7 linked regions of the Danio rerio genome follow. The protein of the gene in region 5 purifies or fractionates together with the protein of the main gene of each other region. This does not show direct contact. Links are inferred from orthologs where the notes say so. Each region holds a gene or a part of one and is shown on either strand. Other genes may lie near its edges. The genes, in order: irf1b, foxo3a, cdk1, smarcc1a, ep300b, mcm3l and chd4b.

Region 1 (3,973 bases), on a different chromosome or scaffold from region 5:
ATGTATAATTTGTGAATAATATATGTATGATATAATGATATGATGTACAAACATTCAAATGAATGAATGAACGTTCACACAAACATGCTTGTAAATGAATGAATTAATGGACAAACACAAAGTTAATCATACATGCATACAAACAAAACAAACAAATATACATGTGAATGCATGATGAATGAATGAATGAAAGAATGAATGAATGAATGAATGAATGAATGAATGAAAGAATGAATGAATGAATGAATGAATGAATGAATGAATGAATGAAAGAATGAATGAATGAATGAATGAATGAATGAATGAAATCCACTCGCAGTTCTGGACGGTTTTGAGGCCTGTGAGAAATACACATCTCGAAACCTAACATACCACAGAGCAGCACACACACATATCCAGCAGCTCCGTCATGACCCTCCTGAGCACGCTTCTGGCTGTCAGGCTTCCAGCACGGTTTCTTTGAAACGGAGACTCTTACAGGAAGCAGAGCCGGAGCAGCGGCGCCCTCTGTCGGCAGACTCTGCAACATTTCCCGGAAACCGACTGACTTCTGCAGACTGAACCCCGACCCGCTGCACTTTATACCGGCTCCATAACGAGACACTCACACACTGAACAGTGCAGAATTAACCTGCTGTCTGAATCATGATAGCACTCACAGAGTGACAGAGCCACTACACACACACAGCTCTAATACATCAACTTCACACACTGTTGGAGATTCCCCAGTACTGGGTTGCAGCTGGAAGGGCATCAACATGTGCTGGAAAAGTTGGCGGTTCATTCCGCTGTGGTGACCCCTGATTAATAAGGGAATTAAGCTGAAATGAATGAGTGGATGAACAGTGCTGTAGAAGTGTAACTGATGATTGTGAGGTTGTGTTTGGGATAATCGCATATGTGTGTGTCGCGTGGGCGTGTGTGCAGTATGCTGCTGTGGTATGCTGAGGGTGTGTGTGTGTGTGTGTGAGAGAGTGTTTATCCAAACTGAATTGTCTTCCGCACGTAGTCCGTCTCTCTCTTATACAGCATGATTTCTCGGAAATCAGCCTCGCTGTGTGGAGCGCTGCCTGTGTGCGCATGCGCCTGCTAGAGCAGGGAAAATTCCCCGCGCCGTCTTCGGCTCTATATATACAGCAGCAGCAGCAGAGCCCTGCTCACAGTACAGTTAACCTGAACTTCAGCACAGTCACTTCAGCTGTTCTTCTCACTGAGGACTTACTCACGCCTTCACACGGCCAACTCTCGCTGCGCTCTGCACTGTAGGATTTACCCTCGCTCTATTGGTGAGTGTTGTGATTATGCCTGATGTGTTCTTATATGCTGTATATGATGCTGGGTATTTATTTCACTTCAATTCCATGAAATATGGACAAGCTCGAAAGTTGGGTTAAATTTGGTCATATGCATTTAATTAACTCAGTTTACATTTAGTTTGGAATTGAGTTGAAATAATCAAGTGTGTGTGTGGATAATGTGCAGATTTCTGTTCATCCTGCCCTCTGAGGACTCTCAGTTCTGTCTGTCAGTGATGAATGCATGTTAAATGGACATTTCTGAACTCTTGTTTAGCAGAGCAGCGCGTTTCCTGCTGCTTTTACAGATTAATTGTAAATGTTTTTATTTTTTATGAATGCAGATGTACTCTTAATGTTTAATATAGTTATTTTACAAATATGAACTTACTCTTAATGTCTATTTTTAATTTGATATGTTTTATTGAAAGGAAACACACTTTACATACAATACAAAAGAAACATGACCGTTTCCTTCTGTCTGTGTTCTCTTATTCTTCTTTATCATCATTTTCCACAAATGCAGAATTAATCTTAATGTTTCTCTTTTACACGCACACATATTCAGACTTTTAAATACAAATGCAAAAGTATTCCTAAAGTTAATTTTCTTTTAACAAATGCACAATAACTCAGAGTGTCTCGTGGTGAGGTGTGAGCTAAACACACTCTTCAGCGCTGTGCGCGCCCACAGACACGCCTCCTCATCTGCGCATGTGCAGCTCCGCTAATCCTACACTTGTCTCTGTGCTGCAGAAGTCATGCCCGTGTCCAGAATGCGCATGCGCCCCTGGCTGGAGAGCAGGATCGACTCCAACACCATCAATGGACTCATGTGGGTCAACAAGGTAAAGCCGAGCGCTGCACACACTCATCAGAAGCCACTGTTCCAGCATCAGCAGAGCTTTACAGATGTGTGTGTGTGTGTGTTTGCAGGAGGAGAAGATGTTCTCCATCCCCTGGAAACACGCAGCTCGGCACGGCTGGGAGGTGGATAAAGATGCCTGTCTGTTCAAGCAGTGGGCCATTCACACAGGTGAGAGAGCTGTCAATCATCTATACCTGTGACACTGCTGTCAGTGTTTCCTTCACTGCAACTAACACTTACATAGAGTCTAAATATCTGAACATTCTGAAAGCAAGAAGCGTTTTCTAGAGAAGCAACAGATATGTAGTGTTGTTGAGTCGGCATGTGCAGTGTTGAGTGTTGTAAAGACCTCTAGTAAAGCTCTACTGAGTGCACTATACAGTAGCAGTGGATGTGACCGTAGTGCTGTTCATTTCAGGTAAATATAAGGAGGGAGTGACTCAGCCTGACCCCAAAACCTGGAAAGCCAATTTCCGCTGTGCAATGAACTCGCTTCCGGATATCGAGGAGGTGAAGGATAAAAGCATCAACAAGGGCTGCGGGGCGGTGAGAGTTTACCGCATGCTCCCCGCCGTCAGCAAGAAGATCAAGAGATCCAAGAGCCGAGACTCCCGCCGGCGGATGAAGGTGAGCGCAGCGCATTATTATAATAATCACAACACATATGTCAGGTATAGCACCTCAAGCATCCCATTTCTGGGATTTTTGTCCAAATAATTTTGGTGTAAATCAAATTTTTTATTATCAGATTTTTATAATTTTGGTGTAAATTAATTTTTTTATTATCAAATTATTATAATTTTAGTGTAAATCAAATTTTTTATTATCAAATTATTATAATTTTAGTGTAAATAAAAATTTTTATTATCAAATTTTTTAAATTTTGGTGAAAATCAAATTTATTATTATTTTTTTTAATAATAAATATCTATTAATGTGTTTATATTAGACATTTTTATGTTTTTTTTTATGTTTTTGGTAAATGTGTAAATGTCTTGAACTTTTCAGATTAAACAAACAATTTTAAAAAATCTAAATAAAGTCACTTATGACAAAAAAATGTCCTTAAAGATGCCAGCAACCAATCAAAACAGAGAAAAACAAACATAAACATATATAAAGCAGAGTCAGAGCATGTCAAATAATCAGACCAAATCAGGTGTGTGTGTGTGTTTAAACTGAAGATCTGAACATGCGCGTGTGTGTGTGTGTGTGTGTGTTATTATTCAGAGTCTGTCTCAGAAAGTAAAGCTGGAGGACATGAGCAGTGAGGACACGTCTGCAGAAATGACCCAGGAGAACACCATCGACAGCACTCAGAGCACACCACGTAAGTGTGTTCAGACCCACAGCAGCAGAGGACGCTTCCCTCATCTGTGTTAAAGGGGACAGTTCACTCTGAGATATGCAAACGTGCAGACTGAGCGGTGAAGCTGGAGTCTGATGTTCTCATGTCTTCTCCTGCAGACACTTCCAGTCCTACTGTTGGGTATGAGGTGGAGATCGGCCCTGACAGCACATGCAACGACATCTACTCTCGATTCCAGGTGTCTCCAGTGCACTCCACAGGTAATCACACACACACACACACACACACACACACACACACACACACACACACACACACACACACACAAACACACACACACACACACACACACACACACACACACACACACACACACACACAGTACTCTTCTCCATGATGACAGCACATAATATTAGACTAGATATTCTTCAAGACACTAGTGTTCAGCTTACAGTGACATGTAAAGGCTTCACTAGGGTAATTAGGGTAAAGTTAGGGTAA
Region 2 (4,181 bases), on a different chromosome or scaffold from region 5:
ATTATTATTATTATTATTATTATTAAGTAGGATATTGTTTATTTATTTTTTGAAAAGTCTACTTTTACAATTTGACATGTAAACTATTGCAGATAGTTCTAACTAGCAGGCTCATGTCATATACAGTACAGATACCTAATAAATAAGCTACTATAAACTAAAAGCATTAAAGTATGCTGTGTTTTTGTTTTCACAAGCTTTGGTGCCGTAACAAAAATTCCGCTTTTAAATAATATGTCACCTATAGCTTTCGTCATGAGGCTGTGTTCAAAATGACATCAATGTTTTCAAAGTGCACTACGAAGTGAGCGCAATTGTAAACATGAAGATCACTAAAACTGAACTTTAAAAATACTTTGAAGGCAAATTACACCTAAGAGAGATGACCTTAATGCTTTTTTTATTTTTAATAATTCGAACTTTGAATTTTAGAGTGTTCTAAACGAATAGGGCATAGGGGGGATAAGTGGGAATAGAATACAGCCAGGAACTATGTTTCTAACTACAGCTCCAGAGGTGTAGTCGCAAGTGCTCAAGTTTGCATCGCAGTTTGTGAATGTTTGTTGGAGCCATGGATTTGGGAAACGGCAATTTAACGAACTATGTTTGTATCGACGGAACTTGCGAACTTAGTTGGCTAACGATAGTTTTGGGAAATGCACCCCAGTTTAAAAATATCATAATTACAAAGTAAAAGTAAATAGAGACCTTCAAACTGTGAGAAAATGCATTGAGGAATAATATTTCATATAGAAGTTGTTGTTGTTTTTTAATTGCTTGATCCAGTTAATTTTGAAGGTATACTTAAGAGTGGTCAAATCTAAGAAGTTTAAACCTCCATTTTCAATTGTTCATAACTACCGATTTCCTTATATAATTGGGTTTATTTTTTTTTTATAAAACATTAAAAAGCATATTATCAATAGTTTTGGAAATATTATTGTTGACTGCTAAAGAAAGAGGTGTATACATAAGTCTTGAGATTTCCTTTGCTTTTGTTATAAGCTCTCTCCCTCTCAAAGATAGGTCTCATAATAACCAATGATTTCGTGTTGTCTTTGTCTTATCAATAATAATGAAGAAATTTCTCACAAATTCTCTTTTCCTCATTTACAATCTTTATACCCAAACATGTGATTTCATCTTTTATAGGCATACCACAAACAAGATAAATCACAATCCTCAAGAGGCATATAATGATGATGGCATATGTGTAATGTGTGTAACGTTAGATGACGTGTGTGGCAGTTCTGCGTGGCCCTTTAAGAAGCAGTTCCTCCGACCGCTTCCAGGGGGCGGGTGTTCTGTGTGTTGCTGTTCCTCTCTGTAGTTTTGCAGCGGAGATGCAGCGCATTACAGGCTTTGCCAGTGCTGGATCGCCCGGGCTGCGGGACGCGACGTCCTGCTCCGACATGGAACAGGGATCATCATGGAGGTTTATCGGGATGAACGGTGTGTCTATTAGGACTTATCAGTGCTGATTTGCGGAGGGGCGGCTTGTGGAGGTATGGCTTGATCATTCGAGGACACTTTCGCGAACGCACAGTTTTTCTGATCGCATTCGATTCAAAAGATTTCCCAGAACGGAAGCCGCGTTCTGAAACAATGTAACGTTCGCATTATGATGTAATGATACAATGTAACGAATTCGCTGCGCGACGTCATGCAACATTATAACAAATTCGAACGTCCGCTCTGCCTTTATGTGTTCGAACAACGGAAGCTTCATTAGACGTTAAATATCCGCGCGATTCACACACGGATGAACCAACAATGCCCTCGAACGCGTTTGTAAACATTCCCAATCATCTCAAGACTTCGATTAAATCCTCAAAGCGTCCCGTATTGAAATGCGGACTCCAGAAGTGATCCATTAATGGCATGCACGAGGGCACTGCTGCTGTTGTGTTCCGAAAAGCCGTCCATACATCATTCATTTGAAGGAGTCGAGGAAATATGGCAGAGGAGCTAGATAAGCCTTTGGCTGTGGACGTCGACATAGACCCTGATTTTGAGCCCCAAAAAAGGCCCAGGTCTTGCACATGGCCTCTGCCCAGACCCGAGTCCAATTCGGGCAAAGCAGAACCTTCAGATGTGGGGATCATTCCTGAAGAAGAGGTAGATGAAAATGGCACTGATGATGCTTGTGCATCTGGTGACATTACAGGCGCATCAAAGCCTGCCAGTGTCACAGAAGGAGACCCGAGTTCTGCTGCTGCTCTTCCTGCCATAGAAACGAACGCTTCTGCCAATGATAAAGACATCTATGGCTCTCCTGGATCTTCCCAACACGCTCTAGCAGCATGCAGCGACTCCAGCATCAATGGTCTGATTCCTCAGCAGCCCAGAAAATCCTCTGCCCGCAGGAACGCCTGGGGAAACTATTCCTACGCCGACCTCATCACCCAAGCCATCGAGAGCTCGCCAGAGAAGAGGCTGACACTGGCCCAGATTTATGATTGGATGGTCCGAAATGTGCCATACTTCAAGGACAAAGGTGACAGCAACAGCTCTGCAGGATGGAAGGTACGTCAGGTCAAATGTTTTAACCTTGGCTTCCTTTTAACCCTTTATCAGACAGAAAACTCCTTTGATATCATATTGATTGCAAGTAACTGAAGTCCAAATTAATTTTTGAAATATTTAATTCCTTTAGAATTTCATGAGATGTATCTCCCCAGGATATCTTGACTGTTTAAGGCAGTGTTTCTCAACCATGTTCCTGGAGGACCACCAGCTCTGCCTATTTTCCCTGTCTCCTTAACCAAACACACCTGATTTAGATCATCAGTTTATTAGCAGAGACTGAAAGACCTGTAATGGGTGTGACAAGGGAGACCTCCAAAACATGCAGTGTTGGTGGTCCTCCAGGAACATGGTTGAGGGTGTTAAAAGAGGGACTAAGTCATTATTATTATTGCTTTTCTTTTCTTAAAAATGAGATTCTGACTTCCCAGCTTATTTTAAAAGCTGCCAAGCATATTTAATTAATAATTTTAAACAGATTTCCTTCAAAGTATTAATTATAATTTTTCCACCACAATTACAAGTAGCAAAAAACATATTTTTTAACCCTACAAAAGCAAAGACCGTAAAGGATTCATCAGATAATTAACCTATGACTTTTGTCCATTTTATTATAACACAAAAATACAACTTTTTTTTTTTTTAATCAAAACATGACCTAAATTTGATTGTAATGTTTGTATCCCCCCCAATACATTGCCTATTTTATGGTTAACATGCTGTATTTATGTTCTAAATATTAATTTATTGCTTGTTTTCTCTCTTTGGCATCATAAAAAAAATTGTAGGGTGGTCTGATGATGAAAACGTAGACCACTTGTCATGTAATGTGTGGTTTGCTGATAAACTTCATACCGCTGTGCTCATGCCAAAGGGTGTATCAGCAGATAAATAAAGAAAGGTGCCACTGATAAAGAAGACCTTTAAAATGGCCCCTGCTTGCCTCTTCATTTCCTAGTATTGAGGTTTGATCATTTGAGGTTTTTCATCAATAAAACCAATACAATCGCACCATTTTCTCTTTTTATTATGACATTTGAAACCCACCAGTGTGCAAGTCTCTTTTTCTCTCATCCCTGCTTGATTTCAGGGATTAGTTTGGCCTGGAAAAGCAATTTACCCAACATGGAATCAAGTCTAATGAATACTCCTAGTGTAGCTGGATTTGAGTTAGAGAATAACCCCGGGAAATCCCTGCAGATGTGAAGCTATTGAGCTGCTGTTGTGCAGATGTTGTCACATTTAAGCATGATTTGCCACCTTAATAAACAATCTCTGTGCATCAAGAGTTCTTGATTAGTGGGTTTTGAGTTACATATTTGCTCTTTTTAAGTTGTTTATACATATTTAAGATGCAATTTTGTATGCAAAAATTCTGATAGGCAGTGCATATTAGCAACACATAGATAAAAGCAACATTTAAAAACAAAATATGTGTTTAAATACTTTTATATTTGCTTTAAAAAACAAAACATCTTTAGATATGTTTGCAAATCGAACAGTCATCCGTGCTCGGTGCAGATAAAGCCGTCCTGCAGAGTGTTTGCATCTGCCTGCCACTGAATGAGGGAAAAAAAGAGAAACCATGGGCATATCGTGAGTGTCAGGGCTGCTATTGGCTGTTCGGTCCCCACCTCCACTTCCCATTGGCTCTA
Region 3 (4,119 bases), on a different chromosome or scaffold from region 5:
TTTACACTGAGACGGTAACATTTTCAAAAATATTTTCATGTCCCCAAAACAAGATTGGTATGTAACGATGTTCAGTAATAATAATTTTTAAAAAGTTAAACAGTGTAAAAAGGTTCAAATCAATATTTCTATTTATTATTTATGTGGTAAGACGCTGTGTCATAAAATTGACGCAATCTGACGGTCATTATCATAAAACAAATCTTAACATGGTGATAAAAATACCAGGGTCTAAAACAGAATAATGACCACATCCCTTATAACACAGAATACTAGCATTCTTTAAAAATATTGATTAAAAAAAACACCCAAAATTAGTTTGACCTCCTCTATCCCAATTCCTACAGCCAATCAGAGTGGCTCAAATATGCATGGTAATAATTTGTAACTAATCACTTCTTTAATTAAAGTCTCTACCTCTGAGAATTTAGGATGGAATTGAGATTTTATCCCGGGGACTAAGCCTCCTTTATTTCTCTGTAATTAGACAGCCTAGTTATGCTTCATTGGGCTTCTGAGAGCTTCTTTTAAATGGTTCTGTTGGGGGGAAATAAACTTTATTAAAAATTGTTTTTTTACTTTGTGACCCCACATCAAATCTTTCTGAAATCAAACCATGTAAACTAGAATACTACTACTAATAATAATAATAATAATAATAGTCCAATTATAAAAGCTAATAAGTAGCTTTTCTACACAATATTTTACACGTGTCTCCCTCTCTGTCTTTTTATATAATATACATATAACAAATAAAAACGTAAATATAAATTAGCATCTGTTGGAGATCTGGTTAAATAATACTGAAAAGAACAGTCCAACAGTGACACCAAGTCGTCAAAAAGAGTAATGCATGCGTGCTCGTCTGTGTACCACTCAAAATCAATATGTGACCATTGTATGAGACTCACAATATAATAATTACATTATTTGTTTGTTGTTTGTCGTTACAAATGTAGGACATTTAAGACACAAGACTGCAGCAACGAACGCAATGAACTAGAATGTCGGTTTTAGGGTAACTAAAGGACGTTAGAGATGTTTCGTCTGAACACCCACTACCAGTGATATACAGCAACAAGTGTCTGTCAAAAACGTAAAAATCGCTATTCCTACCTGCACAAGGACTACTTTGAACTAAATATACAACAAGCCGCGCATGCGCACATTATCCAACACAGACGCCGCTTTCCTCCCGCTCCCAACCGCTCTATCATCTGATTGGTTGATTTTGAAGTCCCACTGAGTGCGCTGATTGGCTGCTTTTGAATTACGTCCACGCGGCCAGTTTGAATCAAGGAACTCGCAATTCAGCAGGACACACACACACAACATCCGCAAGCTTTTTCATTCCTCTAAAATTTCGAGAACTCTGTTGGACGTAGGACAGTTTGATATTCATCCATATTAGATATAGTTACAGAAAAGGTGAGTTTTTAAAAATCCATGATGATGATTGACTGTTATGTTAACGATTTTGATTCTGATCGCGTAACATTAAGTTGTTTGGGCCCAACTGAGCAAAAACTACTTAGTCATTTAACTGTAAGTTGATACTGTAAACTTTACTGAATGATGTTTTTGTTTATGTAATTTTAACGTTGCAAATGTACGTCCTAAATAAAACAGACGGTTGATCATTGGATTTTAGCACTAGTTTCTGCTGCATCTTGATTTTCCGTTGCCACATTGCTAAGTTACTTATTTTTCTCATGAAAACGTGTCTGACGTTACGAGGTTTTTAGGCACAAAATTATGACTTTGGAATTATGAAAAAGGATTTTATCTAATGGTTGTGATTTTGATGTCAACGCCAAAAGCTAAGACCTGTTCAGTCAGTCTTTTAACGGTACACATAATGTGTATATTTGACATCCACTGTAACTTTGATTGCTTTAGATAGTTAGTTTAAAGCAAAAACGAACAAGTTTAATGAAGAAAATAAAGAGAAAAGTTTCATTATGCATCCAGACTTTTTTTCCTCTTTCTAAAAATAAAAAAAAAATGATTCTGAAAATGTCATGTTATGCTGTCATTAATTTACTTTTTTTATTCTTTGTGTTTTTTCAAAAAAGAGTGTTTGGGGAAAATGGATGACTATCTGAAGATAGAGAAAATTGGTGAAGGTAAGATTTATCTTGTGCTTATTGTCATTTACATTAGCTACTATTATTCTTAGCTAGTCTCTAAATAATAAAACTGAGAGTGTTTTTAGTGAATGTCTAATGTAAATATGTGTGTGTTCTTTAGGTACGTATGGTGTAGTATATAAGGGCAGGAATAAAACCACAGGACAGGTGGTGGCGATGAAGAAGATCCGTCTGGAGAGTGAGGAGGAAGGCGTTCCCAGCACTGCTGTCAGAGAAATCTCCCTCCTCAAGGAGCTCCAGCACCCAAACGTTGTACGGTATGACAGATTTCATTACATGTTTAACAAAACAAATAATTTAGAGTCAATCAGATTTACTGTACAGAAAGTGCTGTTTGTATGCCTGTCTCTGTGGTGGTGGGTTAAAGACGGGTTGGTCTAATACAGCTTTATATTTTACTCTCTATCCATTGGAATGTGTTTGGTTTAATATATTTGTCCTGAACAATAAAAATAGTTATGACAGGATAATTGATGTCATCACCCACAACAAAGTAATATATTTTAACAATATTTAATATACCTCGCAAAAAAAATTGATCAGCATATTGTTATATCAGGAATTGTGTGATGACATTAAAATGCTGTTAAGGGTTCACAGTTTAAAAATGTATGTAGGTTGATAAACTACTACTCAAATTTGGGTGCTGTTTTTAATGCTTACCAATGCTTTGTTAATTTGATTAAAAACTATTGTGAAGTCTTACCACAGATTAATGTCTGTTATAAATGATGAATTTTCAGCATTATTACTACAGTCTTCAGTCTCATTATTCCTCAGAAATCAATCTAACATACCATTATTACTCCAGTCTTCAGTCTCAGTGCTTCAGAAATCATCCTAATAAGTTGATTTAGTTTACATTTATGTATATTACTAGTATCATAGTATAAACAGTTTTTGTTTTTCATATTTACTATGACAGTATATGTACTATTTTTACAAATAAAGTGTTTCTCTTTTTCCCAGCCTGCTAGATGTGCTGATGCAGGAATCCAAATTATATCTAGTTTTTGAGTTTCTGTCCATGGATCTGAAGAAATATTTGGACTCCATCCCATCAGGCGAATTCATGGATCCTATGTTGGTCAAGGTGTGTATTTTTTTTATTATTTTATATATATATATATATATATATATATATATATATATATATATATATATATATATATATATATATATATATATATTTTTTTTTTTTTTTATTTATTTATTTATTTATTTATTTTTTTTTTTTTTGGTACTGTAAATACAACGATTTTGTTTCATGTGCCTTTCATGCCCCGAAATACATAAATACTACATTCCTCAATGTTTTATAATGGCATGTGTTTGGATTCTATACTATAGTATTGAATGTGTATCTTGAAGTAACCGTGCTGATGTGTGTTGTCTATGTAGAGTTACCTTTATCAGATCCTGGAGGGGATTCTGTTCTGCCACTGTCGCAGGGTTCTGCATCGAGACCTGAAGCCCCAGAACCTGCTTATCGACAATAAAGGTGTAATTAAACTGGCAGATTTCGGCTTAGCCCGTGCCTTTGGGGTCCCAGTAAGAGTCTATACTCATGAGGTAAGTACACACATCCCACAATGGAGGCCACATTTCCATCCGCTATTACATTCACACTTAAAAAAAAATAGACATTTTTGTAATTGAGTAAAGGTGACATAAGTGAAAATTTAACACAAACTATCTTCTGTCAACTATATACTTCATTTATACCCTAAGAAAATCAAAGAAAATACTGAATGTGTATTATAGATGTATTCTTCGAGCTAAACCTATGATTTCTTTAAATTGGAAAAATGGATGTACACCAAATATAGGTTACTGGCTGAAAGAAATGGTTTTAAATACGACAGTAAAAAAGATAACCTATATATTAAAAGATAAATGCAAGGTTTTTGAGGGAGATCTTTCAAATTGTTTAGTTGTACTTTTTTAAATTAACTTTATCATATATTGT
Region 4 (3,500 bases), on a different chromosome or scaffold from region 5:
GAGTTTAACAGTCAACTATATTAATGACAACTTTGAAATGAAAAGTCGATGTTTACAAACAGCATTCTTCCCAGAATATCACACTGAAGAAAATATTTCTGAAGGTTTAAAAAAAGCTTTAGCATTATGGGGACTTTGTGAAGAGCAACACTTGACTATCACCTCATTTATTATATGTTGTCTGTTTTAAAGACAATTTTACTACAGTTTTGTTTATTTAACCTAATACTATATTATTTCATTGTGAAATGTTTTGTTATGCACTTATTGTGCAATGAATACATTTAGAATGTGTGTATGTAGCTTGTTTGAAAACTCAAAAACAGTTGCCGCAATCGCAATAATCGTTGAAAAAATATCGCAGTTTTATTGTTTTGTCTATATTGCACAACCTTAGTCACAACTGACCAATCAGAATCAAGTGTTTCAGAGTGTTGTGTGATTAAACAAGACATCAGATATGGCACATTGAAAGTCAAACATTTTTGCTCAACAAATAAGTAATGAGGTTTATTTTTGCAAAAAAACATTTGAACTTTTAATCGATCTGGCTATTTTTCTTATTTATTGTCTCACAAATAGATTGGTGGAATGGATCATCAAAATGGATATGCTATATTTATTGTGGTATCTTCACATAAATATTGATCATCATTTATAGTATAATTTTATATGACATGAGGGCAAGTATCTGGCAGTATTTTCATTTTTACCCTTTAATGTGTTCTTGGTCACACATTAAACAGCAGAACTTATTGGATGGCTGTTATAGAGCTATAATGCATACAAATGGTGCAATTTCTTTAATAAATGTATATAGTTATTGATTATGTATTTGTTGCTATCATTCAAGGCAAAGAGCTTTCTGGACTTCAAACCTGGAGGAGCCCTTTGCCACATTTTGGGATCTGCATACAAATTCAAAAGCGAGCAGGGCTGGTGAGTTGAACCTCAGGAAGGGTTGACTTGATTGTTGTCATGTTCACAAACCTAGTATGCTTAAAATTGCTTTGTCTGTATTTTCTCAGGAGGAGGTTTGATCTTCAGAACCCATCCAGAATGGATAGAAATGTGGAGATGTTCATGACTATTGAAAAGACTCTTGTTCAGGTAGAGATTCTTGTGCATGCGTCAAGTGGTGTGTTGATGCCTGTCAGGTTTGGTTCTCGGCTCTGCTTGCCCTGGTATTGGCATTTATTTTATGACTGTAAACAGTGCTATTCAAACCCTGGCTTGCAGACCAAGACCCCTGGAAATCTGGGGCTTATTTCTAAAACTGAGATCAGTTGTATATCTTATTTTTGAATTGGACCAAAAGATTTAAAAGAGCCAAACTAACACCTTAATATATATAAAAACAAAAAAAAAGTTCTTTCATTTTTTTTTTTTTATACAAATGGTCTACATAATTCTGAATATATTACATTCATGGTTTTCTACATGTTGTATTTTTCTTTTGTCCTGCAGAACAACTCTTTGACCAGACCTATTGTGTACATTGTGTCTGACGTTGAGCAGAAGCAAGCCAACAAGCTTAAAGACATCATTAAGAGACATCAGGTAAAAAAATAAATAAATGGTAATGATTGAAAAGGCTTTTTTGAATTCGTATGGTGTTTCTGATGTTTTACCTGTCTCATCTAGGGAACCATCACTGAAGACAAGTCAAAGGCCACTCATATTATTTATCCCTCCCCAACCCAGATGGAGGAAGGTTGGTTTTGGTTGTTATAGTATCTGAACTTGGTCATTTTTCTTCAGTCATTTATAATTGATGTTTTTCGTAAACTGAATTTGTGAATCCTGCTTTTCAGAGGAATGGCTGCGTCCTGTTATGCGCAAAGACAAGCAAGTGCTTGTTCACTGGGGATATTACCCTGACAGGTTTGTAGTACTGCAAAGCATAATGATGCTTTAGGTTTAAAAGAATAATTCACCCCAAAATAAAGTATTTCGCACATTTCTGTGGTTAGTTTTATCCATGTTTTTGAAATGCATAAATAATGCTTAATGAAAATTGCATGAGCTCAATTTTGTGCCTAAAACATATATTCTCAAATGCAATAAGAAACTCAGAAGGAAGCTTTACAAACAGTGCGCCAGTTTTAATGCACACAAATGTAAATGTTGTTTTAAATATCAAAGTCTTGCATCAAAATGAATCTGTTAAATTACCGTCTCACAACATTGTCCAAACATCAGACATCCTGCTATCATGCCACCTTTCTCATAAAAGAAACAGTTTTGGGATGAAAATTGTGCTTGTGAGTTGTTGCAAATGCAAAATTCCAATTTGTTAGTTTGTATAAAAACAAAGCTTTTGCCCGTACTGTTGACCATGATAAAGAAAAATTGTTTATTGACATTAAAGTTGACTTTTCTTCTTCTTGTAGTTACGATATATGGGTGTCAACAAGTGATGTGGATGCAGATGTTGAGGATCCTCCAAGTTCTGAGAAGCCATGGCGGGTAAGAGAACCTATACATGCTTTGTTAGTCTATAAAGTAGTTTAAACTCTCTTCAGATGCCTTACATCAGTGGTTCTCAAACCTTTTTCATCAAGTACCACCTCAGAAAAAATATTCTCTCCAAGTACCACCATAATGAATAGTATTGAAATACAGTAGCGAAGTGGGCCCAATAAAGCAGCTACAGCTCATCACAGTTAAAAAATGTGGCACATTTATTCCTATTATTAAGAATATTTATTATTATCAGCCACTTTAAACATTATAAAGAGTCTGAACATTAACACTGCACTGTGCTTATATGTAAAAAACAAATAAATAAATAAATAAATAAACTAAAAACGTCAACATTTAAATTTAATTGTGCTTTTAGAGGTTACAAATGGTAGGTTCTGTACTTAAACACCTGGAAACATTGCCTGGACCTAAGAAATATACGCTATATGTCATCCATTCATATATAAATTATTTTTGATAAATTTTGAAATATATGTAACATGTACATGTATGACATAATTGATTCCTATGCGTACCACTAGAAGGATATCCGCGTACCACTAGTGGTACACGTACCACAGTTTGAGAACCACTGCCTTACATTATGAAACGTATTTGCATTGTAAGTGATGCCACAAGGCTGATTTATACTCGATGCATCCGCTAGTTCATTTTAGTGTGTGCACGGTTGTGATGTCATCACGGTATTTGCAGAGGATGCCTGTGGGTGCGTGCTTCATGCTTTTGCTGGCGGAGCGCATGCAACTTTTTGAGACACAGAGCGTGTTTCATTTGAGTTGAATATGAATCACTTTAAAGGGATTTTGGTTTGCCTGTACAGACATCGTTATGATCATCCATGCATGATCATAGGGATAACCAAATGGGCAATAGTTCCTGGCTAGAAATTGCAAGTTTTTGTAAAAAAGTTTAGAAAAACTTGTGGGATGAGTTCGTTGAAGCCAAGGGGCTGTGACAAAAGTGGGGACCCAGGTTGTTTTAATACACAATTACAGATGTTTTTTTTTTTTCCA
Region 5 (3,500 bases):
AACTTTTTTTGATCAATATTGACAATCGTGTTCACTCATTAAATACCAATACCTATTTTGTCGCCCAGCCCTATGTACTAAATATAATCAGTAACGCACAGAATTCATTTACAGAATCATTTTAAAACAAACTGGCGTATTAATGCTGTTTTTTTAAGTGAACTCTCAAATCTGTTTTTAAACCAATTCCTTGAACTCAACCATAAACTTACAATCACTTCAGCATTTCTAATGCATTGAGCTATATAGTGAGCTAAAACACTAAAGAAAATGTTTTAAATACTTATTAATGTTGTAAAACAATCAGATTCATCCTTTTATATTCTGTCTTTTTCAGAATCAGATGCCCACTCCACCATCACTATCAGTCCATAGTCCTGTAGCTCAGTCCCAGTCGTCAGTCCCAGTCTCTGGAGCCGCTGCTGGCCCTCAGGGGCCTCCGTCCAACCACCCTCCACCTGCTCCTCAGCCCGGTCTGCACACGCACTGTCCTCCCTTACGCCAAAACTCCCCTTCTCCCGCACGTAGCCTCACCCCTACCCCTGCCCCGCACCAAACACCCCCGCAGTTGCCTGGTAACCAGACCCCTCAGCCCCACACCCCTAATTCATCCACCACTATGGCTCCACCTGCATCACAGCTGCCCCCTATGGCACAGGGGGTGGCCTCCGAAAAATCCAGTCAGTTACAACAGCAGTCGCATGGAGGTGGAGCTACTGGAGGCCCCCAAACAGGGCTGGCGTCATCTGTGCCTTCCCAGAACGCCCACGGGCTTTGTACACACCCACATAGTCCTGTGAGTATCACAATCGAGTGTGTTTTCATTTGACCCTGTTTATTTGGTAAATAACAAGAAAGTACAACTCAAGCCCAACATTAGAGACTTAATTGATTTCCGATAACACATACTGACCCTTTTGACACGGAGTCCTGAAGCATAAAGTATTAGCGAGACCAACAGCATTAATTCAAATTGGATAAAGAAAGTGAGCATGTTTCACTGTGAAGAGGTCAAATATTTGAGTTCAGTATAAGTCGACCCATGTGCTTGAATGCTTGTGGTATAACTTAACTCCACCATTAATCTCTTATGTGCTTTGTTTACACTAGTTGGCTATAATTAAATGATTTAAGAGCATGAACTCAGTGAGTAAGCGCTAAAGCATTTTGAGCTCATTTAAGTTGATTCTTCAACCTGATTTCACTGGAAAATTGGCTATTTTATATTTTGGTTAATCCTTGGCTAGTTAGAATTGAATGCATATAATATTATTATTATTATTATTATTATTATTATTATTATTATTATTATTATTATTATTTAAAATATAATTTTTAAAATTGTATGAAAGTGTCAGACTTTTGATTTTTTTTGTATGTTATATAAATTCATACAATATTCTCAGTACATCAAATTACTAATTGCCCTGAGATTGTGTTGGATTCTTTGCTCTCTTAAACCTTTTTAAATGTGCAAAAGGGAATATTCTATAAGTAAAAGCACTATATATATATAGAGAAACTTTACATTTTTAAAACCCTAAAACTTTTAAAGACAGACCTTATGTTGTGTAATGTTGTATGACCTTATTCTGTTGAAGCCTTTTCTGCATTTTACACTTTATTTTACAAATTTCAAATGGTTTAATTTTGGAATCTGTGGTGAACACTACATTATCTATGATGCTTTATAAAATATTCAGCCATTAAAATCTCTTTTTAGTTTTGGCTATTTGAGAGGTTGTTTTTTGGCCAATGGCTGTTTTCCACTATTTTTTTCTTCAGCTCCTATGCTACTGTTTTGTTAGTCATTCCTTCTGACTTTAATTTACTATTACCTGTTTGTTAACGACGACAAAACATGCCAAAATGATGCAGTTAGCATCACCCTGATTCATTGGCAAAAATCCAGATTTTTTTTTTCAAATTCCTTTTTGGATTATTGCAGAAAATAAAATCTTACTCATTTTGTTAACAGCTATGACAGAAGAATGAATTAATGAATGAAGCCTAAATACAACTGGCAGAAGAAGCTGAATTTAAAAGAACTTGCGAATCAGTTAATCAATGATCAAGCAGAGATGAGAATCAAGATAATAAAGAAAAGTATTTTCTTTCTTTCATAATTGAGTTTTGAAATTTTGAAAATTAATATTTGTATCTATTTCTCAATGAATAGAGGCTATCTATTTTGGTGCATTTAAACAAAACACATTTAATAAACAGATATATATATTAAAATAATGTTTTAGTCACCAAACATATTTAGAAATTGATAGACAATACAATTAAATTCAAGCAAAATATTGCAAAAAATATTCAATCTACAAAATTTTAACTTAATTTTTATTTATTTTTTTGCTTTTCTTGATTTTTCCTTTTTTTTAGATTTGTATTTAATTTCTTTCTATAACATATAAATTTGGGTGTACTAGTTTTTGGCTATTTTTGGTTATTTCTTTAGATAAGCTCCAGCTTTTTGCTTCAGTACTGACTAATCTAATGTATATGCTCAAATATAATATTGTAGAGCTCTCTATTAAACAGAATTTGAATTGAAATTGATTTGTCAGGGGTGTACTTATATATGCTGAGCACTGTATATAAATAATAAATTGGTTATATTTTATAATTAATGTTTTTATTTTTATTTGTTGGATAGTTTTTACCACAAATGTTTGTTTGTTTATTTGGCAGGGACAGTGTACATTAATAAGCATTCCTGCAAATGCACCAGAATTAGCCAGAAGGCTATTTTTCATCTGATGTCACTGAACAACTTAAAAAAACAATACAAGAATTATACAATAAATCAAACATTGTTAAAAAGTACTAAAATAGACAAAGTTATGTAGATAATAATAAAAAATGAATATTTACAAATTAAACTAAAACACCAAAATAAATCACTTAAATTATAATTTTTTGTACCTTTATTTAAAAAAGGCCACAAAAAAAAAAAAAATATATATATATATATATATAATTATTATTACATTTTCAGCTATTTTTCTTAGAAACAGCTGGTTTGTTTTGGCTGTTGCCTTTCATTTCGGTGTGCCATTGCTTTTTGTCCTGATCTGCTGTTCTGATGTGGTACCACCCCTCAGCTCTCTCAGAAATCATCTGCGACTGTGGACGGTCAGGCCTCGACTCCTGCCTCAGTCAGCAGTGCTGACCCTAGTTCACAACTGACATCATCCGAACCCACAGCCCCTCTTGACTCCAAAACTGAGGTCAAACAGCAGGATGAAGAGGAAGAGAATGAGAATGAGACTGAGGACAAGGCCTCAGGGAAAATGGCCGCCATGCAGACCGAGATCAAGTCTGAGGAGAAACCAGAGGTGAGCGAGGGAAAGAGCTTTTACATGTTAAAACTGATTCTTTCTTTTCCAGCTTAATTTCTATCCCATCCCTAACCCTAAGGCTAAATTATACTTCTGTTTGAGTGATTGCTATAACCCACAGTGCATGCCTTGAGTGTAGTCATGCATTTATAC
Region 6 (3,500 bases), on a different chromosome or scaffold from region 5:
TATGACTGGTTTTCTGGTCCAGGGACACATACTGTACATAGCCCGGCTGTTAACTAACCCTTAAGCCCAACCTGCTCTGGTTAGACTCATTTTTACAAGTCATACACTCGAAATACGAAATAAAGGTACAAGATATTATATTTATTTATTTATTTATTTATTTATTTTTGAGTTAAAATCCAATTCAATGGTCTATGCGAGGCTAAAAGGTAACAAAACTGACTAAATGAATTCAAAAATAATAAAGCTCAGCTGTTTAACTCTACACTCTCAGAAATAAAGGTACAAGAGCTGTCACTGGGAAAGTACCTTTACAAAAGATACATATTTGTACCTGAAAAGTCCATATTAGTACTTCAAAGGTACATTTTAGGTGCATTTGGGTACTGATATGTATCTTTGAGGTACCACAAAGGCTGCTTTAGGTACAAATATGTAAAGGTACTTTCCCAATGATAGCTCTTGTACCTTTATTTCTTGAGAGTGTAGAGTTAAACAGCTGAGCTTTATTATTTTTTTAATTCATTCAGTCAGTCTGGATATATATATATATATATATATATATATATATATATATATATATATATATATATATATATATATATATATATATATATATATATATATATATATATATATATATATATATATATATATATATATATATATATATATATATATATATATAAAGAATCGACTTGCGTGTTGTAAAACCAACAGAAAATAAGAAGTTGCTATTTTCTAGGTCAATGTGGCTAAAAACTATACTCTCAATCCAGCATAATAATCAAGGAACTTTGATTCAATACCATGCCTGAAGCAAACACAATATTACATAGTGCTTGAAAATAGTCCACAGCTAACTAGGTAACAGCCCTGCATAATATTATTGTAAGTGCAGCAGCCACAATACACAATGTAACTCAAGAATAGAATAAGTAGAGTCAAGTGTATAATTGGAAAATTATCAAAACACTTTTTTTTATTATTTGAGTGAGATTCTAATGGTCTAATCTGATTCAATGATCTATGCTAAGCTAAAAATGCTCCTGCCAGACCTGGAGATCCGCTGAATGGATTTTTAAAAATTTTTTACAGGAGTTGTAAAATGAGCCTATTTCCAAAAAAGTGCAGTGTTTCTTTTTTAATTTAGCATGATGCAAGGAAGCTGAGAATGAATTTGTGCCTGTTCTCCTCTGGCTGTTGCAGGTGAGCGCCGTCTGGAGGCAGGAGCTATGGTGCTTGCTGACAGAGGTGTGGTTTGCATTGATGAGTTTGATAAGATGTCAGACATGGACCGAACCGCCATCCATGAAGTGATGGAGCAGGGCAGGGTCACCATTTCCAAAGCTGGGATTCAGGCAAGGCTGAACGCTCGCTGCAGTGTGTTAGCTGCTGCTAATCCAGTGTACGGAAGGGTAAATATTGATTGGTGGCTTGACTGGTATAAGTACTTTCTATTAAGAATTGAGAATTTAATATTCTGTTAATTCTAATGTGTTCAATTGGGTTAATTTATCAAGTATGACCAGTATAAGACCCCCATGGAGAACATCGGGCTCCAGGATTCCTTGCTTTCCAGATTTGATCTGCTCTTCATAGTTCTGGATCAGATGGATCCTGACAGTGATAAGGAGATCTCTGAGCATGTGTTGCGTATGCATCGCTACAGAGCACCGGGAGAAGCAGAGGGAACAGGTGAGACTGACCTCTGCTGGACAAAACACAACCACCTCTAGAGATGAGTGGAGATAAGTGCTAGAAGCTTGTTGTTGTTTGGCATAAGTTCAATTGCTTGTAAAGAACAATTATGGTGGAATTACAAGCTGATAACTTTGATAGGTTTTTTTTCTCTCTCAGAATTGACAATTTCAAGTTTACATTTTAAGTTGTTTTTTTTTTTTTTTGCATTTCTGAATTTTCTTTTTTTCTTGTAAGCTATTACTTTGTAATCGAGTTTGTAACTTGCAATTTTGTGCTAACATTTTATAAATATGGAATTTTCCTTTTTTTTTTTTGACTCCAGTTGAGTATACACCCCCCACCCCTTTAGAATTGCAAGTTACATTTATCACCATTTTAATTTTATTTGGTTTTTACAGTTCTGAGAAGAGAAGTCGTAATTATGGGGTGGAAAAACACTAATCAAAGGATTTTTTTTTTTACTACTTTATTCAAATGTAGCGTTCACCAGTATAGAATAAATGTAAAAACACAACCTTTTTATTTATTTTTATATATATATATATATATATATATATATATATATATATATATATATATATATATATATATATATATATATATATATTTATTTATTTATTTATTTATTTATTTATTTATTTATTTATTTATTTATTTATTTATTTATTTATTTATTTATTTGCTTCATTTTTGTGGTACAGTAAAAGTGATCTACTACTACCATTGAACAGTTTGGCATACGATTTTAAATTTTTTATTATTTAAAAAAGAAATAATTACTTCTATTCATAAAGAATGCATTCATTGTTTAAAACTATTGTTAAATATGAATATTTCAAATATGTAGTGATCTTTTGGACCTTCCATTCTTCAAAAAATCTTGCAAAAAATGTCAGTTTCCACAAAAAATTTCAAGTAGGAATAGTAGTTTTCTACATTCAGAACTGAAAATTAATTCAACTTGACAATTAAGAAGGACAAAAGTGTGTATTACAACTGGTTTGTGATATTTAAGACCGGAGAAAGTATGTTACAAATTCAGCTTTGGAATCACAAAATGAAATGTTGTTTTAAATAGTATTGTGTCTGCACAAACAGCAATGCCGCTGGGAAGTACAGTGGACGTGTTCGCCACAGAAGACCCAAACATCACAGAAGCATCTGAGCAGGAGTTGCAGATCTATGAGAAAAAAGACAATGTCCTGCATGGCCACAGGAAGAAAAGGTATGCTTCTCTTCATCTAGTTATAAATGGTCTTTGTTCCCTTAGAAAAAAAGTTGCGTAGCATGAGTGAGTTTCTGTGATAATCCTTTTGAAAAGGGAGAAGATTGTTACAATGGAGTTCATCAGGAAGTACATCCACGTGGCCAAGCTGGTGAAGCCAGTGTTGACTCAGGAGGCATCAGACTATATAGCGGAGGAATATTCTAGACTCCGGAGCCACGACCAAGTCAACAGTGACTCTGCAAGGGTCTGTAATGTCCACTTATGTATAACCTTTGGTTTATGCTTGACTTTTGGGGCACTTTTATGTTGTAAAATCGACTTTGTATAGAAGAGTAAGTCTTTAAATCTACATATTGACACTTTTGGGTACTAGCAAAGCAAATATGGACATTAGAGTAACATATACTGTAATTATTTTAAAAACAATTATTTTATAACATAAAATAATTATTGCAAATTTTACAGAAACATTACATGCAGTTTTAGATAATTTTTATGCGAACCCACTATTTATTATTATTTTTTTTTTTAACAAATCTTTTAAAGATCATTTGCACCACTGCATCCA
Region 7 (3,500 bases), on a different chromosome or scaffold from region 5:
CTGCACCTGAGCAGCGTATATTTGAGGGCGCGCAAGATGTTTTGTGGACGAACAGAAATCGGCGCTCAAGCAGAGATTGACATAATCGTAGGCTATTACATGAATGCAATCTCAACTTAAAACTGCGCCCATGACATTTGTCAATGAAATAAAGACACATGTATTGGTAGATCTGTGTAAAATGGCCAACAGAGTCTGCCGCCACAGCTGGAAAAAATCCTAGAGGAAACAATGGAGTACATCAACTCCTCCAGAAATTATACCTGGAAGATGGAGGCTTTCATCGGTGCTTCTGACTGTGCCAAGCCCAGTTTGATGAAGTGTTGTCCGGTGTTAGCAAGAGGATTTCCCCTCGGGACATTAACGACAAGCACTATGTCATAAACATGCCTCTACAAGAGAAGTTCAGATTTTTCCACTCAAGCAATTTGTGCGAAACAATTTACTTAGTATGTAAATCGCGATTGATGCTTCATCCACATCTGATGTGAACGCAGCAATAGGGTGAATTATTTTGTGAATTAATCAGTACTTCATATGCATAAACGTTGTCATGGTGTAGAGGTGAACTTCTGCTTTCAGTTGAGCGTTATTTAGAGGTTTAAACTAAGCATGACACCCTGAGTGTGTATTTTAGTAAGATCAGTTTCACTCTGATGCTTTAGGAGGTTAAAATGGTTTCTGCTAAATATGGATTTGACCATATACATGCATATACATGTATTGACAGTACATAGGAAAGTATAGTACAGCCTTCATTTTTCCCTGTAAATCTGAATTTTACAACCATACAGTACACAAGACACCCTTTAAAATGTAGTTCAGTGTAACATTAGTTTATACAGTGTAGCTACCTGTGATTCAAATTTTAAAACCTTTTTAAATGACATTAAAATACTTGAATCCACTTAGAATACTTAAAATCCAGTAAGTGTTTAAGGATCACAGTGCAGTCCCAAAATATTATGCTCACAGTCAAGCATAATTAAATAGCCATTTTAATAGAGTATTATTTAATAACCATTTTAAATCCTTATAATTTTTTTATCACTAGGTTTTACCCAATTTAAATTGTTTTATCATTTAGAATAAAAAAAAATGTATGTTCTCTCATTTCATTAAATGATTTAAAAGTACAGGTCAGCTTAAGTATGTTGGATTATTTTACATGAATATGATGCTGGAACATTATTTCAACCATATTTTGGCATTGTAGTTTAAAGCAGGTTGAAAATTCAACTGTTTATTGTGCTTTCTATGCATATGAAATCAGTTTTGTGAATGTACTTTGAAGCAGGCATTCATTTGATCCTGGATGGGAAAATGTTAAAGGTAAACATCTGACATATTGGCCTGACTGTGCCAGCCAAAAATTATTATTGTTGAGCCTTGGGCTGAAATAAATAGCATCACCTTCTCTGTGACCTATTTACCACTCACTTTAAATCAGCGCCGTTGTATTTTTATCTACCATATCACTATGTCTTTCCCTCACGGATTTGCGTTAGAAAAGCATTATCAGTTTTTAATACTTATCATTGCCAGTGCATCAAGTATGTATAGCAATAACTAATATGGGAAGTAAATGAGTTGTGTAAGTAAATATAGGAAATCAATGGAAATGGGCACAATACAAGATTGGGACAAAGTAAATCAATTCTAAATTCAATAAATTTCTCCCATCCAGGTGACAATAAAGAAGAAGACAGCAGTGTTATTCACTATGATGACAAGGCGATTGATCGCTTGTTGGATCGAAACCAAGACGCAACGGAGGACACAGAACTGCAGAGTATGAATGAATACTTGAGCTCATTTAAAGTGGCCCAATATGTGGTCAAAGATGAAGATGAGGAGGTGAGTTTGAGTGCGATTCACTGTCTGTGCTTGGTTTGTTTTGGTATTATATATAGTCGAACCAAATTTTATTGAGACATCTTTGACATTTCTCACAATATCACAATTTATTCACCTTAGCTTATAAAATGCTTATAAAATATCAGAATAAGTTTATCTTGATAATGTCAGATAATGGAAAGAAAAGTATGATATGCAATGGATTACAATCAACCAAAACCACAGCGTATAGTTGCACAATTATCAATACATTGTTGGTTTACTTTAGCCTCAATGACATCCTGTAGTCTCCCCTGTCAACCCGATCTTCAATATTTTTTCACTGCTTAAGCTGCTTCACTTTATCCTGGTTTTAAGTTACTTTGAAGAATATTTGGATATAATATGGCATAAATTACTATATTTTTTCATTTACATCACCTATAGTGTGCTTTAGTCCTTCATAATAATAACCGTCTATACTAAATGTGGCAGAATAATTTTTTTGTTTGACTGCATGTGTTATAACATGGTGTATTTCGCAGGAGGAGGATGTGGATAGAGAGATCATTAAGCAGGAGGAGAGTGTAGATCCTGATTACTGGGAGAAACTGCTGCGGCATCATTACGAGCAGCAGCAGGAAGATCTCGCTCGTCATCTGGGCAAAGGCAAACGGCCACGCAAACCTGTTAACTACAATGACTGTTCACAGGAGGACAGAGGTAGTAGACGGGGTACAGACGCACTTTATTTCCTTTTTTACTGCTCTTTCCCTTTATGTTTGTGAGTATGTGCGCGTGTGCTGTGGATAAAGACGAACGTATTGGTGTGATCTCAAGGTCTGGAAGATTTCTTTACTCTTTGTGTGTTGTGTTTTGTCTGTTTATTATTGTTTATTATTTAAATAGATAATAGATAAACTAAAAGTCAAATGTTTGCAGACTTATTCTTAAAATAATGTTCTCATATTCTTTTAAAATTAAATGCGGAAGATATGTTGTATATTAGGCACTAAAATGTAATGTGATAATTTATCTGACATTTCAAAAGTCGATCATTTATCACTTTAATAATTCTTATTTAATTATGCAGTCTTTGTTGAGAATTTTCTTTCAACATTTCACAATAATGTTAAAGTTAGAATTAATGTTAAAGTAATTTGACAGAGACAGATGTTTTAAAGTGTATACTATACCGATAATTACATTATATTGTTTATGATATATTATGCAGTTACACATTGATTATAAATGTTTATATTATATTATATTATATTATATTATATTATATTATATTATATTATATTATATTATATTATATTATATTATATTATATTATATTATATTATATTATATTAACTTATGAAATCAACTCCAGTCTTGTTTAAACATTTGACCTTTCTGTTTTGAGTGTGAGCATGAATCCCAATTGTTTTGTTCCCTTCAAATAAATATTTCCTCTGCAAGTCAACCCAAATACTCATAAATATTTTGTCCCACTCATTTGGATTCTCAGACTGGCAGGATGATCAGTCTGATAACCAATCAGATTACTCTGTGGCTTCAGAAGAGGGTGATGAGGACTTTGATGAACGATCTGAAGGTAAGAAACAAATTGAAACCATTATTTTTGTTAATAAAAGTTTGTCGTACATGTATACATT

Evidence for each region.
Region 1: the proteins of ep300b (region 5) and irf1b purify together in Homo sapiens (affinity purification with western blotting; 3 studies listed by BioGRID). This does not show direct contact. The link is inferred for Danio rerio from reciprocal best matches to the Homo sapiens genes EP300 and IRF1.
Region 2: the proteins of ep300b (region 5) and foxo3a purify together in Homo sapiens (affinity purification with western blotting; 3 studies listed by BioGRID and IntAct, with this or other methods). This does not show direct contact. The link is inferred for Danio rerio from reciprocal best matches to the Homo sapiens genes EP300 and FOXO3.
Region 3: the proteins of ep300b (region 5) and cdk1 purify together in Homo sapiens (affinity purification with mass spectrometry; 3 studies listed by BioGRID, with this or other methods). This does not show direct contact. The link is inferred for Danio rerio from reciprocal best matches to the Homo sapiens genes EP300 and CDK1.
Region 4: the proteins of ep300b (region 5) and smarcc1a purify together in Homo sapiens (affinity purification with mass spectrometry; 3 studies listed by BioGRID, with this or other methods). This does not show direct contact. The link is inferred for Danio rerio from reciprocal best matches to the Homo sapiens genes EP300 and SMARCC1.
Region 6: the proteins of ep300b (region 5) and mcm3l purify together in Homo sapiens (affinity purification with mass spectrometry; 3 studies listed by BioGRID and IntAct, with this or other methods). This does not show direct contact. The link is inferred for Danio rerio from reciprocal best matches to the Homo sapiens genes EP300 and MCM3.
Region 7: the proteins of ep300b (region 5) and chd4b purify together in Homo sapiens (affinity purification with western blotting; 4 studies listed by BioGRID, with this or other methods). This does not show direct contact. The link is inferred for Danio rerio from reciprocal best matches to the Homo sapiens genes EP300 and CHD4.

What each region holds. Positions count from the first base shown.
Region 1 is NC_133196.1:49,886,135-49,890,107, forward strand, and holds the start of irf1b (interferon regulatory factor 1b), read left to right. Parts: upstream 1-1,173; 5' UTR 1,174-1,286; intron 1,287-2,051; 5' UTR 2,052-2,056; coding exon 2,057-2,143; intron 2,144-2,231; coding exon 2,232-2,331; intron 2,332-2,581; coding exon 2,582-2,790; intron 2,791-3,393; coding exon 3,394-3,493; intron 3,494-3,630; coding exon 3,631-3,732; intron 3,733-3,973. UniProt on the Homo sapiens protein: Transcriptional regulator which displays a remarkable functional diversity in the regulation of cellular responses.
Region 2 is NC_133192.1:7,929,738-7,933,918, forward strand, and holds the start of foxo3a (forkhead box protein O3a), read left to right. Parts: upstream 1-1,381; 5' UTR 1,382-1,956; coding exon 1,957-2,526; intron 2,527-4,181. UniProt on the Homo sapiens protein: Transcriptional activator that recognizes and binds to the DNA sequence 5'-[AG]TAAA[TC]A-3' and regulates different processes, such as apoptosis and autophagy.
Region 3 is NC_133192.1:22,200,037-22,204,155, forward strand, and holds the start of cdk1 (cyclin-dependent kinase 1), read left to right. Parts: upstream 1-1,319; 5' UTR 1,320-1,428; intron 1,429-2,075; 5' UTR 2,076-2,089; coding exon 2,090-2,126; intron 2,127-2,250; coding exon 2,251-2,407; intron 2,408-3,119; coding exon 3,120-3,243; intron 3,244-3,551; coding exon 3,552-3,722; intron 3,723-4,119. UniProt on the Homo sapiens protein: Plays a key role in the control of the eukaryotic cell cycle by modulating the centrosome cycle as well as mitotic onset; promotes G2-M transition via association with multiple interphase cyclins.
Region 4 is NC_133191.1:46,881,464-46,884,963, reverse strand, and holds part of smarcc1a (SWI/SNF complex subunit SMARCC1), read left to right. Parts: intron 1-853; coding exon 854-939; intron 940-1,028; coding exon 1,029-1,110; intron 1,111-1,467; coding exon 1,468-1,560; intron 1,561-1,644; coding exon 1,645-1,714; intron 1,715-1,814; coding exon 1,815-1,884; intron 1,885-2,393; coding exon 2,394-2,469; intron 2,470-3,500. UniProt on the Homo sapiens protein: Involved in transcriptional activation and repression of select genes by chromatin remodeling (alteration of DNA-nucleosome topology).
Region 5 is NC_133178.1:23,768,361-23,771,860, reverse strand, and holds part of ep300b (histone acetyltransferase p300), read left to right. Parts: intron 1-337; coding exon 338-796; intron 797-3,110; coding exon 3,111-3,344; intron 3,345-3,500. UniProt on the Homo sapiens protein: Functions as a histone acetyltransferase and regulates transcription via chromatin remodeling. Acetylates all four core histones in nucleosomes. Histone acetylation gives an epigenetic tag for transcriptional activation.
Region 6 is NC_133195.1:6,678,002-6,681,501, reverse strand, and holds part of mcm3l (MCM3 minichromosome maintenance deficient 3 (S. cerevisiae), like), read left to right. Parts: intron 1-1,209; coding exon 1,210-1,418; intron 1,419-1,523; coding exon 1,524-1,698; intron 1,699-2,802; coding exon 2,803-2,929; intron 2,930-3,025; coding exon 3,026-3,176; intron 3,177-3,500. UniProt on the Homo sapiens protein: Acts as a component of the MCM2-7 complex (MCM complex) which is the replicative helicase essential for 'once per cell cycle' DNA replication initiation and elongation in eukaryotic cells.
Region 7 is NC_133191.1:34,963,533-34,967,032, reverse strand, and holds part of chd4b (chromodomain-helicase-DNA-binding protein 4), read left to right. Parts: intron 1-1,687; coding exon 1,688-1,857; intron 1,858-2,381; coding exon 2,382-2,571; intron 2,572-3,352; coding exon 3,353-3,439; intron 3,440-3,500. UniProt on the Homo sapiens protein: ATP-dependent chromatin-remodeling factor that binds and distorts nucleosomal DNA. Acts as a component of the histone deacetylase NuRD complex which participates in the remodeling of chromatin.